Linked DNA regions of Caenorhabditis elegans. The protein of the gene in region 1 interacts with the protein of each later gene in a pairwise test. Each region holds a gene or a part of one and is shown on either strand. Other genes may lie near its edges.

Region 1 (7,628 bases):
TTTTGAATTCAAAAACAAAACAGTTTTTATTCAGGTTCTGCTCTACAACGTGACAAAAGACGTGATTCTCTACGGAGTGAAGTTGACTCAACAGACCTATTACGTAGTCTTGGCGATTGCTGCTCACATGCAAAATGGCTATCGACGATTCGCGTCAGGAGTGGACCGGCTCACGGACAAGTACAACAAGGTCCGCCAACGGATCGGAAAGTGAGCAGCTGTGCGGAGCATCTCGATCGAAAATACTCACTTATTCCTTCAAATTTTTTTTTTGCAAAAAGTCCCCGTTCAATTGTACATTTGCCTGTTTCAGAATTGTTCACACGACTTTCTAGATGCCTTTTCTTTTTGATTTTCGTAGTCAGTATGCATCAATTTCGTTTTTCCCGTCTCTTTTTTGCTCCATATTCCGGTTTTATTCCGTTTCTCCCTCCCAAAAAAAAAGAAAAGAACCAACCTCATCCAAAATTTTTAGAGAAAGAAGCTTAGGATTTTGCGCTTTTTGCAACGTGTATTATCCCTTGTGTGAAATAAAATTAAAACTTTATTTAGGGGGAGCAATAAAAATAATTAATATTAGGAGATAAAAAATTTTCAAAAAAAGAAGCGAAAAAAATATTAGTGAGATGTGTATCAGGTGGTCCCATTTTTATTATAAATTTAAAAATCTTTAAAAAAAAGGATTTAGGACCACTTGCTACTCAAATATTATTAGTAACTAATCGTTGAACAATACTCACAGACAAGGAAGACAAACAAATTTCAAATTAAAAAAAAACTGAAAAATGTCACCACAATTCAAGATGTTTAGCCATATCCTCTGCAAGATGGTCGAATCCTGGAATTGATGACATATTATCATCGTCTTGTTGGAAATTGGAAGGCACTGGAGGAAAGGCTGCTCTCCGTTTTGCTGAAAATTCGGAATTTTTTAATTTTAAATTGAAATTTGTGTTTTTTCCACGAAAAAAAAAACCATTATTGATCTTTCAAATTTGCGAGTGAAATATGACGCTTTGTGTCGGTGTTTGCACAGTATTCGGATTCTGTGGTTCACTGCACCTAGTACCTCGTATTTGACGCGCAAGTTTGAGAAATTCAAGCTCACAAGTTTTTTCAAGAAAAATTACAAATTTCACACAAAAATGGGGGAATAATTTATTACGGGAACACAGAATTCGGAGAATGCGTATTGCACAACATATTTGACGCGCAAAATATCTCGCAGCGAAAACTACAGTAATCCTTTAAATGACTACTGTAGCGCTCGATTTTCGAAATGAATTTCTTTTCAAAAATCTAGAGCCCTGCACAGCCTCCTGGAAATGACCCAACAAGGGGGCTTGCGCGTTTCTCGTGAGCGTGGGAAAATTTTACCGTTGAAAAGTGATTTCCTTCAGTTTTCACGGGTTTAAAATCGATTTCAAACTTTTTAATTACGTATCAATTGTAAAGCTAATTAAGGGCAAGGTGGAAAAAAAAAGATTTTTGATTTTGGTTCAAAAATAAAAGCGCTGATATAAAAAGAAAAAACCGCTAAAAATTGAGTTTTTCTCATATTTCGTATATTTTTCATCATTTTTCTAGTGGAATTTGATGTTCATTTGAAAAGTAATCTTCCACCAAAGCTTATGTTATGAAAAATATGAAGAAAAACAGTAAATTGAACGTTTTCGGAAATTTCTCAATTTTGCACGCGATGCACGAGAAGTGCGCCAACAAACCAAAATTTCCACTGGAGGAGACTGTGCCCTGTAAATCGACACAAGCGCTGCAGTAGTCATTTAGAGAATTACTGTAGTTTTCGCTACGAGATACTTTGCGCGTCAAATATGTTGCGCAATACGCATTCTCAGAATTTTGTGTTCCCGTAATATCCCATAAATCTAACCTGTCACAAAATGTGGTTGAATTCCCGTGGAGCCGTTGGGAAATGGCGTCTCAAATGGGCTCATCAAATTATTATTATTGATTGAAGACATTTCGGGTGGCAAGAAAAAGGACGAAGATTCCAACGGCCAGCTAGGGTGAGGACGCGTGGCTGAAAAAAAAATTTCAAGGAATTTATTGAAACTTGTTTTTTTTCTAAAAAATTATTTTAAAAAACTCACTTTCACAATTCATCTGAGCCATTGGAGAACGCATATGACTGGAGTCAGAACTCGATTTCATCGGTGAAGATTGCATTTCTAGACCGCCCATCGGTGGCGGCTGTTGATTATACGAGTTTCTCGTATTTCCTGTCATAATCTGTGATTCCACGTGATCCCGTAAATCTGCGAGTGCGTGGCGCTGCGAGACCTGAAAATTGGAGTTTTTGAATAATTACAGGAATTTGCGATTTTTGCGGCATAGGTACGGTACTTGGTCTCGACGCGAAATATTTTTGTTGGTGAAGCAAATATACAATAAGGTGTGCGCCTTTAAAGAATAGTGTAGTTTCAAAATCTAGTAAAAATTGTCGTGTCGAGACCGGGTACCGCAATTTTGGGCAAAAAATCCAAAATTTCTAGTCTAGATAATACATTTTAGTTTCAAAAGATAGCCGACTTGAATTTTCTAGGCCACCTCTCCATCACTAACCTCATAAAGCTTATCAGCTCTGATATATGCATTTGGCTGATTATCGGGATGAATAAAAAGACACCGTTTGCCATAGGGGCATAGTCCAGTGGTAGTGTACTTGTCACAAAGTTTCGTCTTGTACTTGTTGTTTTGTCGTGATTCCAGTCTGAAAATATTCAGGGTTTTTGCGCGTCAAATTTCAGGCAAAGCGGCAAATTGCAGGAGTTGAAATTTCCGGCAAATCGGTAAACTGCCGGAATTGAAATTTCCGGCAAATCGGCAAATTGCCGGAATAGAAATTCCGGCAAATCGATAAAATTCCGGAATTGAATTTTTCCGAAAATCGGCAAATTGCCGGAATTGAAATTTCCGGCAAATCGGCAAATTGTCCACCCCTGCGCCAAAAGTTATGCGCAAAAATTTTGAAAACTCACTTCGCCGGGCGCAGCTCTTCCTCTCCATGTGCAAATCGGCAATTTTCAGCAAAAGTGCATGTTTTCGACTCGAGCCATGCCTGACAAATGACCGTCTTGTAAGATTCGGGCTTTTGCATCCGCCGTTCGCCGCGAGGGGGGCGTCTGGAAAATGTAATTATTAGGAGAAACTCTAAAAATGGTTTTTTTTTGTGGAAATTTTCCACTACTTTGACACCTTACATCTTAGTTATTTTAAGCGCTATGAAAGCATTTTCAACTACAAAAATATTTATCACATTATCAGCTACATTAGTGCAGTTAAAAACTTTTTGATATCACAAAAAATAGTTTAGATACATGCGTTGAAACTTGGTACGTTATCTTTGAATTTTTTCAATGGTTTTTGATTTGGTTTTTTCACATTTTTTCCAAATCAAAAAGATTTTGAATTTCTTTTGGTTTAACAATTTGAATAATTAAAACTCACTGTGGAAACCCGTGATGTGGTGATATCGAATTCGCTACAAATGGCTGATCGACTGGATTTGAGGAGTATCTGAGTGCTCGCATCTGGTTCGTCTGGATTTGCTTGTTTCTGAAAAACAGTGTTTGGTGTTTAGGTTTCAAACATAGCTTCTTGCCCAAATTTGGCACAAAAAAGTTAACTTGGGCAACAGTTGGGCAAGACATTTAGGCCCAAAGTTTAACCGAAATTTGGCCCAATTCTGCTTTCGGCAATTTCGGCAACTGCCAAATTTGCCGATTGCAGAAAACTCCCGAAACCGGCAATCGTCAGAATTGCCGGTTTTCGGAAATCAGAACTGCCGGACCTTAAACATGCACTTTAATGAACTTTTTTTTTTTCAAGCTCAAAGTAATGTAATTTTTGAACCGGCTATTGTCAAAATTGCCAATTGCCGAAAATATCCAAAACCTGCAGTTTCCGATTGCCGAGAATTTCTAAAACTGGCAAATGCAGAAATTGCCAATATTGCCGATAATTTCTAAAACCGGCAATTGCACAGAATTGCCAAATGCCGAAAATTTCCAAAACCGGCAATTGCCGAAATTCCAAGTTAATTTTTTCGGGCAAAACTTGCGCAAGAAACTGGAGCCAAGCAACAAAATAAAACTAACTCTGCAATTTCCTTTCTCAATTGCTCATTCACCGCAATCAGGTTAGCAGTTTCAAAAAGCAACGAGTTCAACTGAGTAGTAGGACTCGGTGGCCCACTCTGCGATGATGATCCTTGACTATGACTAGGTGATGAAGCATGAACTCCCGATGAGAATACACCACTGTCAGCTGAACCAGTTGACATGGACGATGGTGGACGCTTGTCAGACTTTTCGAGATCTCTGGAAAATAAATAAGTTGTGGGTATGAAATAATCCAAAAAAGTTGGGATGGGGAGGGGAGGAAGTATCATTATTGCCAGTTTTTGGCGTTGTCACTGTTCTGTCCACTATATCTCGGCTGATAAAACCGTTCGAGTGATAACGAACAGGATATTTATTTATCTCTTCTGTTCACAAATAGTGCACTTAATCTCACTAGTTAGACTTATCAAGCTTTTTCAAAATTACAGCTTTAGCTGTAAAAAATGTGACACGTAAAATATAGTGCATCAATAATTTCAATTAAACCTTTTAACAAATTGCACAAAAACTGATTTAATATCAATTATGAAAATTTTATTTAAAATTTTGCTTTGACTTTTAAAATTAAAAATTTCTAAAAATTGCACATTTTCAAATTGCTCCAGCTTACACTTTTGAAGGGAATTTTTTGTGGTAATAAAATTATTAATTAGATATACATATTCTTGACAAGAATATATAGCCATGTCACAATGGAACACCAACTGAATAAGTTATGAACTTTTTTAAAACTTTTTTTTAATAAATGGAGGTTTCAACTAAACTTTTAAGGAAGCTTTAATATATATTTTAAAGTGTTTTCAGCAAGGATAATATTCAGAACAAATATTTTTGAAAGCTTTACGCGTTTGGAATTAAACAAAAAAAAACAAAGTCAAATTTTCTGTGTAGGCACAAAATCATACACTTTTTAATCAAGTTTTTAAGCATTTTTTTAGAACTTCAGATTTTCTGTCCCTATGCACTATGCATATAGGCATGTAGGCACAAAAAACCTACGTGCCTACTTCCCTACCTATTAACTAGACAAATTCTTCATCTATTTCTTATGTTTTCATATTTCTTTAATAATTAGTCGATATATATGTACAGAGGCGGCCAATTGCCGTTCGGCAATTTTTTTGTCGGCACATTTTTTTTGACGGAGATTTTCAATTCCGGTAATTTGCCGGTTTGTCGCTTGCCGGATATCAGATTTGCCGAAAATGTTTAAAGGGATTTTTTTATAAGACGAAAACACTTAAAACCTTGATTTTTTGATGCGTGCAATTTTGTCTATTAAAATTGAAATTCCGAAATTTCCAACAAAAAAACCGTGCAAAACCACAATTTGCCGGAAATTTTCGACAATTGCCGATTTGCCGGAATTTTTCATTTCCGGCAGAAATGTTTATTATTTCCGCGATTTTCTTTAGATATTTTCATAGAATTTGCTTACTTTTTAAAATAGTCGTAGTATTTTGCCGATTAAAATTTAAATTCTAAAATTTCCAAAAAGCTTTCAAAGCCGTTTTTCCGGCAAATTCGGCAAATTCAGCAATTCGCCGGTTTGCCGATTTGCCGGAAATTTGTATTTTAGCCTCGAAAATTCTAAAAGTATCGTCAAAAATCTCACCCTTTCACCTTGCTCATCGTGCGCCTTCCCTGACTTGATTAAATATGTAAAAAATCTGAAAAACGGGATGAATGTGTCGCGGTCAGCCAATACCCCTGAAAACTGTGAAATTCGTGAAAAACACGGCGGGCACAAAAATTTCAGGGTCAGTTGCGGATAAACGAGAATGAGAGAACAGTGAAAATGAGAGAAGATTAAACATAACTATGACACACAAAATATTTGATATTTGAAGAGGTTATGTACTTAGAGGGGAAGTTGAAATGAACTGAAATTTGAAAGTAAAAAACACGGTCTGAAAATAAGGCGAGAGATCGAGAGACGCAGAGAAGCGAAGAACCGGTCTCGAGAAATGACAATTCATGTGATGGTGATAAGAACAAAAAAGAATTGTGAGCAGTCTATTACACAAGATACGAGGGGTTCGACATGGACTTAACAGCTGATTTTTATTCATGTGTCCGCTAGTTCGGAGGGGGCATGTGATTGCGATCAGTTGATTGGAGATCATTGGATCAGGGGGTATATCAGTTAAAAGTAATAGAACAGGGAGAAACATGATTTTAAAATCCAGTATTTTCAAAATTCTGCGATGCTCCCTACAAAAACCCCAGTTGAAAGAACTTTAAGATGTTTAGGAGCCCTATAAAATATAAAATTACCCAGTTGCGGAGTTTTCTGCTTTTTGACACAAAAATAAATGCGATAGAATCAGGGCTGGGCGGCAATTGCGGTTCGGCAAATTGATTTGTCGACAAATTCGACAAATCGGCAAATTGCCGGTTTGCCGATTTACCGGAAATTTTCATTTTCGGCAAATTGCCGATTTGCCGTTTGCCGGATATCAGATTTGCCGGAAATGTCTAGAGGGATTATTTACAGGACGTAAACACTTAAAACTGTGCCATTTTGAATTTTTCCCGTTTTTTCTAGTTATTTTAACAGAATTTGCTTACTTATTGAAATAAATGTAGGAATATTCATAGGATGTGCTTAATTCGGCTGTCTGAAATTGAAGTTCTGAAATTTCCAAAAAAAAAAGGGCAAAAAATTTTTGGCAAATTCTGCAAATCGTCAATTTGCCGGTTTGCCGGAAATTTCCAATTTCGGCAATTTGCCGGTTTGCCGATTTGCCGGATCGTTTGCTGCCCACCCCTGGTACGGATTACGAAACAACTTGAAATTTGCAGTTACCGCACCTACAAGTGATTCGAAATTGTCTTGCCTGTTTTTGACACTATTTAAAACTCAGAAGCTTCAATTTTTTGGAAAATTTTGCAAACACATAAAATATCGAATAATTGTTCAAAATACATATCAGAATACTTGCGGGTACTGTGGCTGTGGTCGTGTAAAATATGCATTGTCTCTACAAAAATTTTTTGATGTTTTTGTGTCCAAAAATTCTAAAAAATGAGCTAGCGTGGCATTTTCTCCCAATATTTGTCATTAAAATTGAAAAAAAAATACATATAACTATATTTGCTTTGTCAGACATTAACTTGTATTTTAAATATTTAAAACAACTGAATCCAGATTGAAAACATGCACCAAAATTGTCGGTAAGTTGAAAATTGTCGGAATAAAATTCGACGAACATTTTTGAGAATTTTCAGTTTCTCCAAATCAAGTGAAAACTATATTTTTGCCTACCTCAAACCTACGCCTTATAAGACACAAGTTTTGAAGGTTTTGATCCAAACTAAAAACTATGGATCAGCTGTTCCTGAGCTCAAATTTGAAGCTAGAGCCTAAAAAGACACAATTGATTTGCAATGTAGGAACGCTTGGCACAAATTTAAATATTAGATGAAGCTCAGAAAAATGTGATTCTAAATTGTTAAGGGAAAATGAAGAAGCCAAACTGGAAG
Region 2 (6,483 bases), on another chromosome or scaffold:
CTTTAAGAGCCATTTGAGGCAGATAGTCCGGGCCATATATAAGCAGTGCAATGTTATGGGCCTGTGAGACGTCGGCCCGAAGAATGATGCCACTCATTGTTTTCTGCGAGCCAAATGGCAAGTCAACTTTTTTCTGAAAATGTGAAGTTTATAACATTCACATTGCTTTGGAGAAAGGTTAGAGTTTTCTCATTAAGCACATACTTTATATAATCACAATTCTGATGCTTGTTAGAGCTCACATTGTTTTTTTGATTCAGGATATTTTTGTTAAGATGAAAAAATTAGAAAAGAAAACATTTTGACAATATTAATTTACACGAAATCTTGCAAGAACTTTCCAGAAAATAATGATAAAATGACTCACTTCAGGATCGCAAGAGGTTGGTCCTGAAACAAAATGCTGGGACATCTGAAATTATGATAATGGAAATAAAATACAAATAGATAAAATATAAAGATAAGGACGCCGTGCTTAAGAACACTGTTCGAAAAAAAGAAAAAAAACCCAATTGTTACAAGTGTTTTCAAATATTTATTAATTTGGAGGAGTTGAATAGATAAATTGGGAATCAGAATTGGGGGAGCACCAAAATTATTGAGATTATCTATTTATGGCTGCTCCAACGCCTCGACTCTAACGGTGGCATTCCACCAAGTATGTCTTCCAATTATTGTTCCGATAAGCTTGGTGATTTCTGGATTCTGTTCCAGCCGCGGTACACGTACATTTTGGTTGTGTTGAACTTATCGCCAATTTAACTCATTCCAATGACGCCTTGATGACATCACATCAGAAGCCGTATCCTAAAAACGAAAAAATTAAATATTTGACTTTCTGAGCACATTTTTCATTGAATGTGGAGTTCACAAGACCTAGATGAAAATGATTTTGAACACCCACCAGTCAAAAAATTGATTGTAAAAAAGGTTGTAGAGCTCACAAGCTCAACTATTGATAAAATTCGAAGAAACACTTACCTAACGGAATTTTGACTTCCAAAAAGAGCTCCAACGAAACGGGTCGTTTTGACTCGAATTTTGAAGTCAGTGCCTTCGGAAAAAAAACACGAAGCATTGGAAAAAACCATTGCGAGAGTACAGGAGCCATATTTGATGCTGCATTGAGCTCCAATCAACAATTTTTTGCAAATGCTCGGTTGCCAAAAAGTGGTCCCGAAAAAATCTCAAAGTTCAAGAGAATATTCTAAAAATCCTAAATAATTTTAGGCCAGAGGTGAGAGGATAACCACCGGTGTGCAAATGTGTGGCAGCGAGTATCACAAAGTGCATTTCCTCTGCGTCTCTTGCCGTCACCTCCAAAAATCTATGAAATGCAAAAGGTGCCTACATTTTGTGAGATAATACCAGCGGAGCAATGTTTTTTATCAGATCACGGCAAAAATCATAACAGTGAGCATTGGGGAGGAAGAGTGTAATAATTTGATATGGGCTAGGTTGAGAATCTGGAAATGGTTGGATGGAATGCTTGAGCTGGAATGCTTGAGCTGGAACGGTCAAAAACGTGATAAGACAATAAAAAGAGAAAAGACAACAAGAGAGTAGATCAATTTTTAGCTTTTTGGATTATTGAGATTATTGATATTAGGAGTATAACTAATCTATACTGTGCTCAACAAAATTTCAGAATAACGCAAAGAGATGGATAGTAGAAAAGGGGTAAAACCTGTGAGAGAACTTCAAAAATGACACACAACAACATAAAATCCCCATGACGGCGTAACACACGTTAAAAATTTCAGCTTGAAAAGAGGCATCAAGAACACCTACAGGTGGCTGGGTCCTGGTTGGTTGCTCGCGTCGGTCGCGTCGGCGATGACATTCTCAACGACAACGTCTTCCTCGTCGAGCTCATCCTCGGTGTCGGCTCCGTTTCCTGTCGAGCGAGACGAGCGACTGATTTGCTGGTCAATGCGAAGACGACGGCGCGAGTTCATGAAAAAGTTGCCGACTGTGGAGAAGTCGAGCTCCAAGGTAGCACTCAACTTTTGACGCATTTCACGAGTTGGACGATGATTTTGTTGAAAGGATTTCTGAAGGGACTTGAGCTGGGTCTCCGTGAACGTGAGGCGAATGACTTTTACGCTGAAAAAAAAAACGGTTGGTAAAGTGGATTGTAAAGTGGAAACATTTGAGCCAAGAGAGACTGGTAAATTGACAACATATTTTGCTCAATTCTTTAAAATTTCAGAACTGCCATTTGAGCATAAAAAAAAGCCAGTGAACAAGGATTTACAGGCTCTCCGGATTAGGGGGATAAAGCTTCAGGATTCGGCCTAAAAAGTTTAGGACTTGCGCTTAAAATTTCAGGCCCATGCACTTAAGCTTAAGCCATTAGGCTAAGACTTTTAGACTCGAACACTCAGGCTCAGGCGTAGGCCAACAGGATTAGGCCCTCAAGCGTAGGCCCTCAAGCGTAGGCCCTCAGGCTTAGGCCCTCAAGCGTAGGCCCTCAGGCGTAGGCCCTCAGGCTTAGGCCCACGGCCTAGGCCCACAAGCTTAGGCCATCAGGCTTAGGCCCTCAGGCGTTGGCCCTCAGGCTTAAGCCCTCAGGCGTAGGCCCTCAGGCGAAGGCCCTCAGGATTAGCCCCTAAAATCCGGAGCTTAGGCTTAAGCACTTGGGCTTACCTACTTCGCTGCTACTACTATTTCTGGTCTGATTCATTTTTTAGGAAGCTGTTCCTTAGCGCCAAGGAAAAGTTGCAAGGCATTTAAAATCTGTTCAATAGTTTTTTTTATGAGCAAAACGTGTTGTCAATTCACGAGCCAATTAGGAAGAAAAGAAAACTCACGTTTTTTTACGCTTTGCTGGAGTTGGCTCATCCAACCCGGTAATTCGCGCAACATCTTCTTTCGGCAAAAAGCACAACGCACGGCGAACGTCTGGATCCAAACCAAGCCAGTTTGACATACGCTGAAACGTGGCACGACCATTCTTCATGACACTCCACGGCTTTGGCATTCGAAGCAAATCCGACAGTGTTCCTTGACTTCTGGCAAGAATTTTCTCGGCAAGTGCAGTCTGTGGAATGCAGCGCTCTTTGAGCTCGCTCAAAATACGTCGAGCAATGTCGACAGTGTCGAGCTCTTCGTCATCGCCAATTTGCGCGTTCATTTGAGCAGAGAGGTCTCCGATTTGAACTCCATCCCAGACACAGACTTCACCACCTGGTTTTGGAGTTGCTGAGCTCTGCTTCTTGGGCGCCAACTCCTCGAGCTTTGGTGTTTCCTAAATATTAGAAAATGTCAGACTTGTTGCAAACAAATTCGCAACTCACTGTGGCTCTTCCCTTTTTAGCCGTGTAGTCCGGAGACGATACTGTAGAGGTCGACGACACCGACGAGCCGCAAGTTGAAGAAGCTCTGACAGTCGTCGACGATTGTCGCTTGGTTGCAGCCTTGCTCTGTTCCGGAGTGGTTCTGATTTTTGGAGCGCACTGACTGAAAAAAATTATTGAGCATGTTCCAGAGTTGGAGCCCGCTCCCATCTAGTCCTGGCTGGGCTTTATTTGGTCGTTTTAAGCTTTCTGTGCAGCTTCTCAGATTTTTGCTTACGTCAAGGTTTCAAAGCTAGAAATTCATATCAAAGATGTTGCTCCTTTACTGTTTTTAAAGTATTGCGTCGAAAGCTACTCACCTTTTTGTTCCAGGAACTTCCTTTTCCTGGGATTTTGAAGAGGCGCGAGAAGAATTGCCGGTGGTTTGCACAGTCTTTTGGGACTCGAGAAGCTTCCCTGAAATTTAGAATTAAACATGAAAGATGCTCCCTGTATTTGTATTTGTCATTTTAGGTTTTGTTCTAGGAAACTACTAATACTACTACAACTGCAAAAAACTGTTCCGACTCACGCTTCAGTCTTGTAGACTCCCTTCGTGACGACTGTGGAGCCTCGTCTTCTTTCTCTTCGTGATCTTCTTCAGTCTCATTTTCCACAGACTTCAAGCTTCTTGTCAGCCTCTTGCTGGTCCCATCTCCATCAGAACTTTTGTCGCTTTTCTCTTCGAGTTGCTCAGTAACAGTTGCAGAAACTCCCGGCTCCATTGTCGACTCCGCAGTGTGATCTTCTAAGACAACCGACTCTAGTTGAGCATCAAGCTCCGCATAATTCCTTTCCGGCGGCACCACTTGTTGTGGGTAGTTGTGGCCGTACAAGAGCAACGCAATGTTGAGGGCTTGTGATGCGTCCTTGTCCAGAGTGATGCCGAACAACGTTCGCAGAGTACTGTACGGCAGATCTTCGCGTAGATCTTCGTGTTCGGTCTGAAAATCATAACGTGCTCCAAAATGGAACTTGGAATTGGGCAAGTTTCAAAAACTCAGGTTCTAGAAAAGGAGAAGCCTTCTTAAAAACATTCAAAGCAATTTCTGCGCTTCAAATTTCAATAACTCACTTTGAACTCGCGTAGGCTGGCAGACCCGGTTCCTGATGAAGCTTGAAATTGCTGAGACATCTAAAAAATATTATGGTAAAAATACAATGCAAAATATATACAAGATAAAAAAGCCGTGCTTAATAACACTAGTTGAAGAAAAAAAAGTTTGAAGATAATGATTAGTTGGGTTTGCAAATTTTTTATATTCTTTTATGATTCAAGAGGGATTTAGAAAACTGGTGGAAAAAATGGGGACAAGCATGTTTTGGAAATCCAATCGTCTCATTGGTGTGTGAGCTCTCTTGTAGATTCCTCACATTCCTCAAGTCGTCTGTGGATTCTATCAGATTCAGCGTCGCCACGGAGCAAACTGTCGGCTTTCCACGATCCAAGAGATCCAAGACTACAAAGACCATGGCATTGGTATAGCCAAGTGTGATCTGAAAACCAAGAAATTGAAAAGGAATTCTTAACCTACATATACTCACCGCTCAGAAAAAATAATAACTGAAGATCCACGCTAGCTGCCTGATGGTATCCGTATTGTGTTGAGGTACGTGCTGGAAGTTCTGCCAACCATGATACTTTTCCGAACAGCAACGGCAACATCGCATCTCGTGAAATCAGGCGCCGGCCAGTTTTCGGCAAGAGTGCTCTGAACAAGACTCCGATCCTTTTGTCGTAGGTTCCTAACGATTAGGTGTTGCTCTCAACAGGAGATGTTCAGCTTCTGATGGGTGTGATTGCTGCCAACTTTTTTCGGATCCGTTGCGTGATGTGCTGGCCGGTATCTGAAAAATAAAAAATTGGATTACCTAAGTCTCGCTCCATTGTTGAGCTCAAATGTTCCTAAAATACTTACCGCTTGGAATTCCACCAAAAGACTCTCCAGCTAATCCCTTTGACCATAAAAGTGCAAGATTTGAACTTGAAACCAGTGTCTTTGGAGTAGTGAAGAAAAAATCCGGAAAAACTCATTGCAAGTCTTCTCTGGTTGATTAATTCCGTTCCAAATTCAAAATTGTACTACCTGAATAGCAGATAAATCCTAAAATATACCCCAAAATACCGGCCTTTCAGAATGGCCTAACAAGAGACCAATGAGATCTTAGGCCACCACATGTGTGAATACCTCTGCGTCTCTCGTCGGCTAACCCCCAAAAATCAATGGTATGCAAAAGTGGCCAAAAGTGCCCAAAATGTGCAGCAAAATTCCAGCGGGGTGATTTTTATATAAGAAAACACCAATAATCATAACAATCAACGCTAAAGAGAAAGTGACAATGTGAAATATTTTGAACTGAGCATCTGAAAAATGTGTTATGGCTGAAATGTTATGGCTGGATTGGGATCGGTCACAAAATTGATAAGGCAATGAAGAGGTATGGGAATTGGATGGGGAATTAATACAATTAACAATTAAAACAATCAAGGATTTTATATTAAACAGAACGATAGTAGTCAATTTTTTTTTTGGGATTTTTGGAATTTTTCAATTTTTTTGGAGGTTTTTGGATTTTTTGTTAATATTAAACTTATAAAATTATTGAAATTAGGAAATTACTGTACATTGTACACAATTCAAACACACGTTCATGCTAAAACACGAACAAATTTAAGCGGTGAATGGGGGACCTGTGAGACTGTGAGCTTGAAAAATGACACGCAAAAACTAAAAATCACCCATAAAATAGCGTACACCGTATTGAGTGATGGTTTGGCAGACTACATCTATTGCTAGCGCTTTTAATAATGGTGGCTGGGTCCCGGTTGATTGTGATCAATGGCGTGTTCGGCGACAAGGTTTTGACTGACCGGTGCAGCTTTTGGAAGACGACGGCGGGCGTTCATAAAGAAATTGCCGACGGTGGAACGGTTGAGCTTCAATGTCGCACTCAGAGCCTGTTGCATTTCGCGATTCGGACGATCTTGTTGTTGGAAGACTGTATGCAACGAGTCGAGCTGGGTTTGCGTGAATGTGAAGCGTCGGATTCGTTCGTCGCTGAAAATAATTAATTTATTTGTTTATAATTCTTCGAATTCTTGACTCAAAGCTTAATCCGAAGCCTATAGTAAGCCTTAGATCTT

Evidence for each region. Proteins that work in one complex are often made in the same cells at the same time.
Region 2: the proteins of moe-3 (region 1) and ceh-21 interact in a two-hybrid assay, tested with the Caenorhabditis elegans proteins (one large-scale study listed by BioGRID).

Annotation. Positions count from the first base shown.
Region 1 is NC_003280.10:13,159,882-13,167,509, forward strand, and holds moe-3 (CCCH-type zinc finger protein moe-3), read right to left. Parts: upstream 5,853-7,628; 5' UTR 5,775-5,852; coding exon 5,758-5,774; intron 4,341-5,757; coding exon 4,119-4,340; intron 3,577-4,118; coding exon 3,469-3,576; intron 3,144-3,468; coding exon 3,000-3,143; intron 2,732-2,999; coding exon 2,584-2,731; intron 2,302-2,583; coding exon 2,112-2,301; intron 2,042-2,111; coding exon 1,892-2,041; intron 914-1,891; coding exon 789-913; 3' UTR 534-788; downstream 1-533. Other genes in the region: F32A11.1 (Mitochondrial import inner membrane translocase subunit Tim21), read left to right, coding at 35-214. UniProt on the Caenorhabditis elegans protein: Zinc-finger protein that may play a role in oocyte maturation and fertility.
Region 2 is NC_003284.9:1,848,264-1,854,746, forward strand, and holds ceh-21 (Homeobox protein ceh-21), read right to left. Parts: upstream 4,474-6,483; coding exon 4,414-4,473; intron 4,283-4,413; coding exon 3,871-4,282; intron 3,756-3,870; coding exon 3,659-3,755; intron 3,463-3,658; coding exon 3,300-3,462; intron 3,251-3,299; coding exon 2,814-3,250; intron 2,107-2,813; coding exon 1,788-2,106; 3' UTR 982-1,787; intron 808-981; 3' UTR 516-807; downstream 1-515. Other genes in the region: ceh-41 (Homeobox domain-containing protein), read right to left, coding at 1-133, 368-412; T26C11.9 (uncharacterized protein), read right to left, coding at 4,678-4,835, 4,884-5,004; Homeobox protein ceh-39, read right to left, coding at 6,142-6,397. UniProt on the Caenorhabditis elegans protein: Probable DNA-binding regulatory protein involved in cell-fate specification.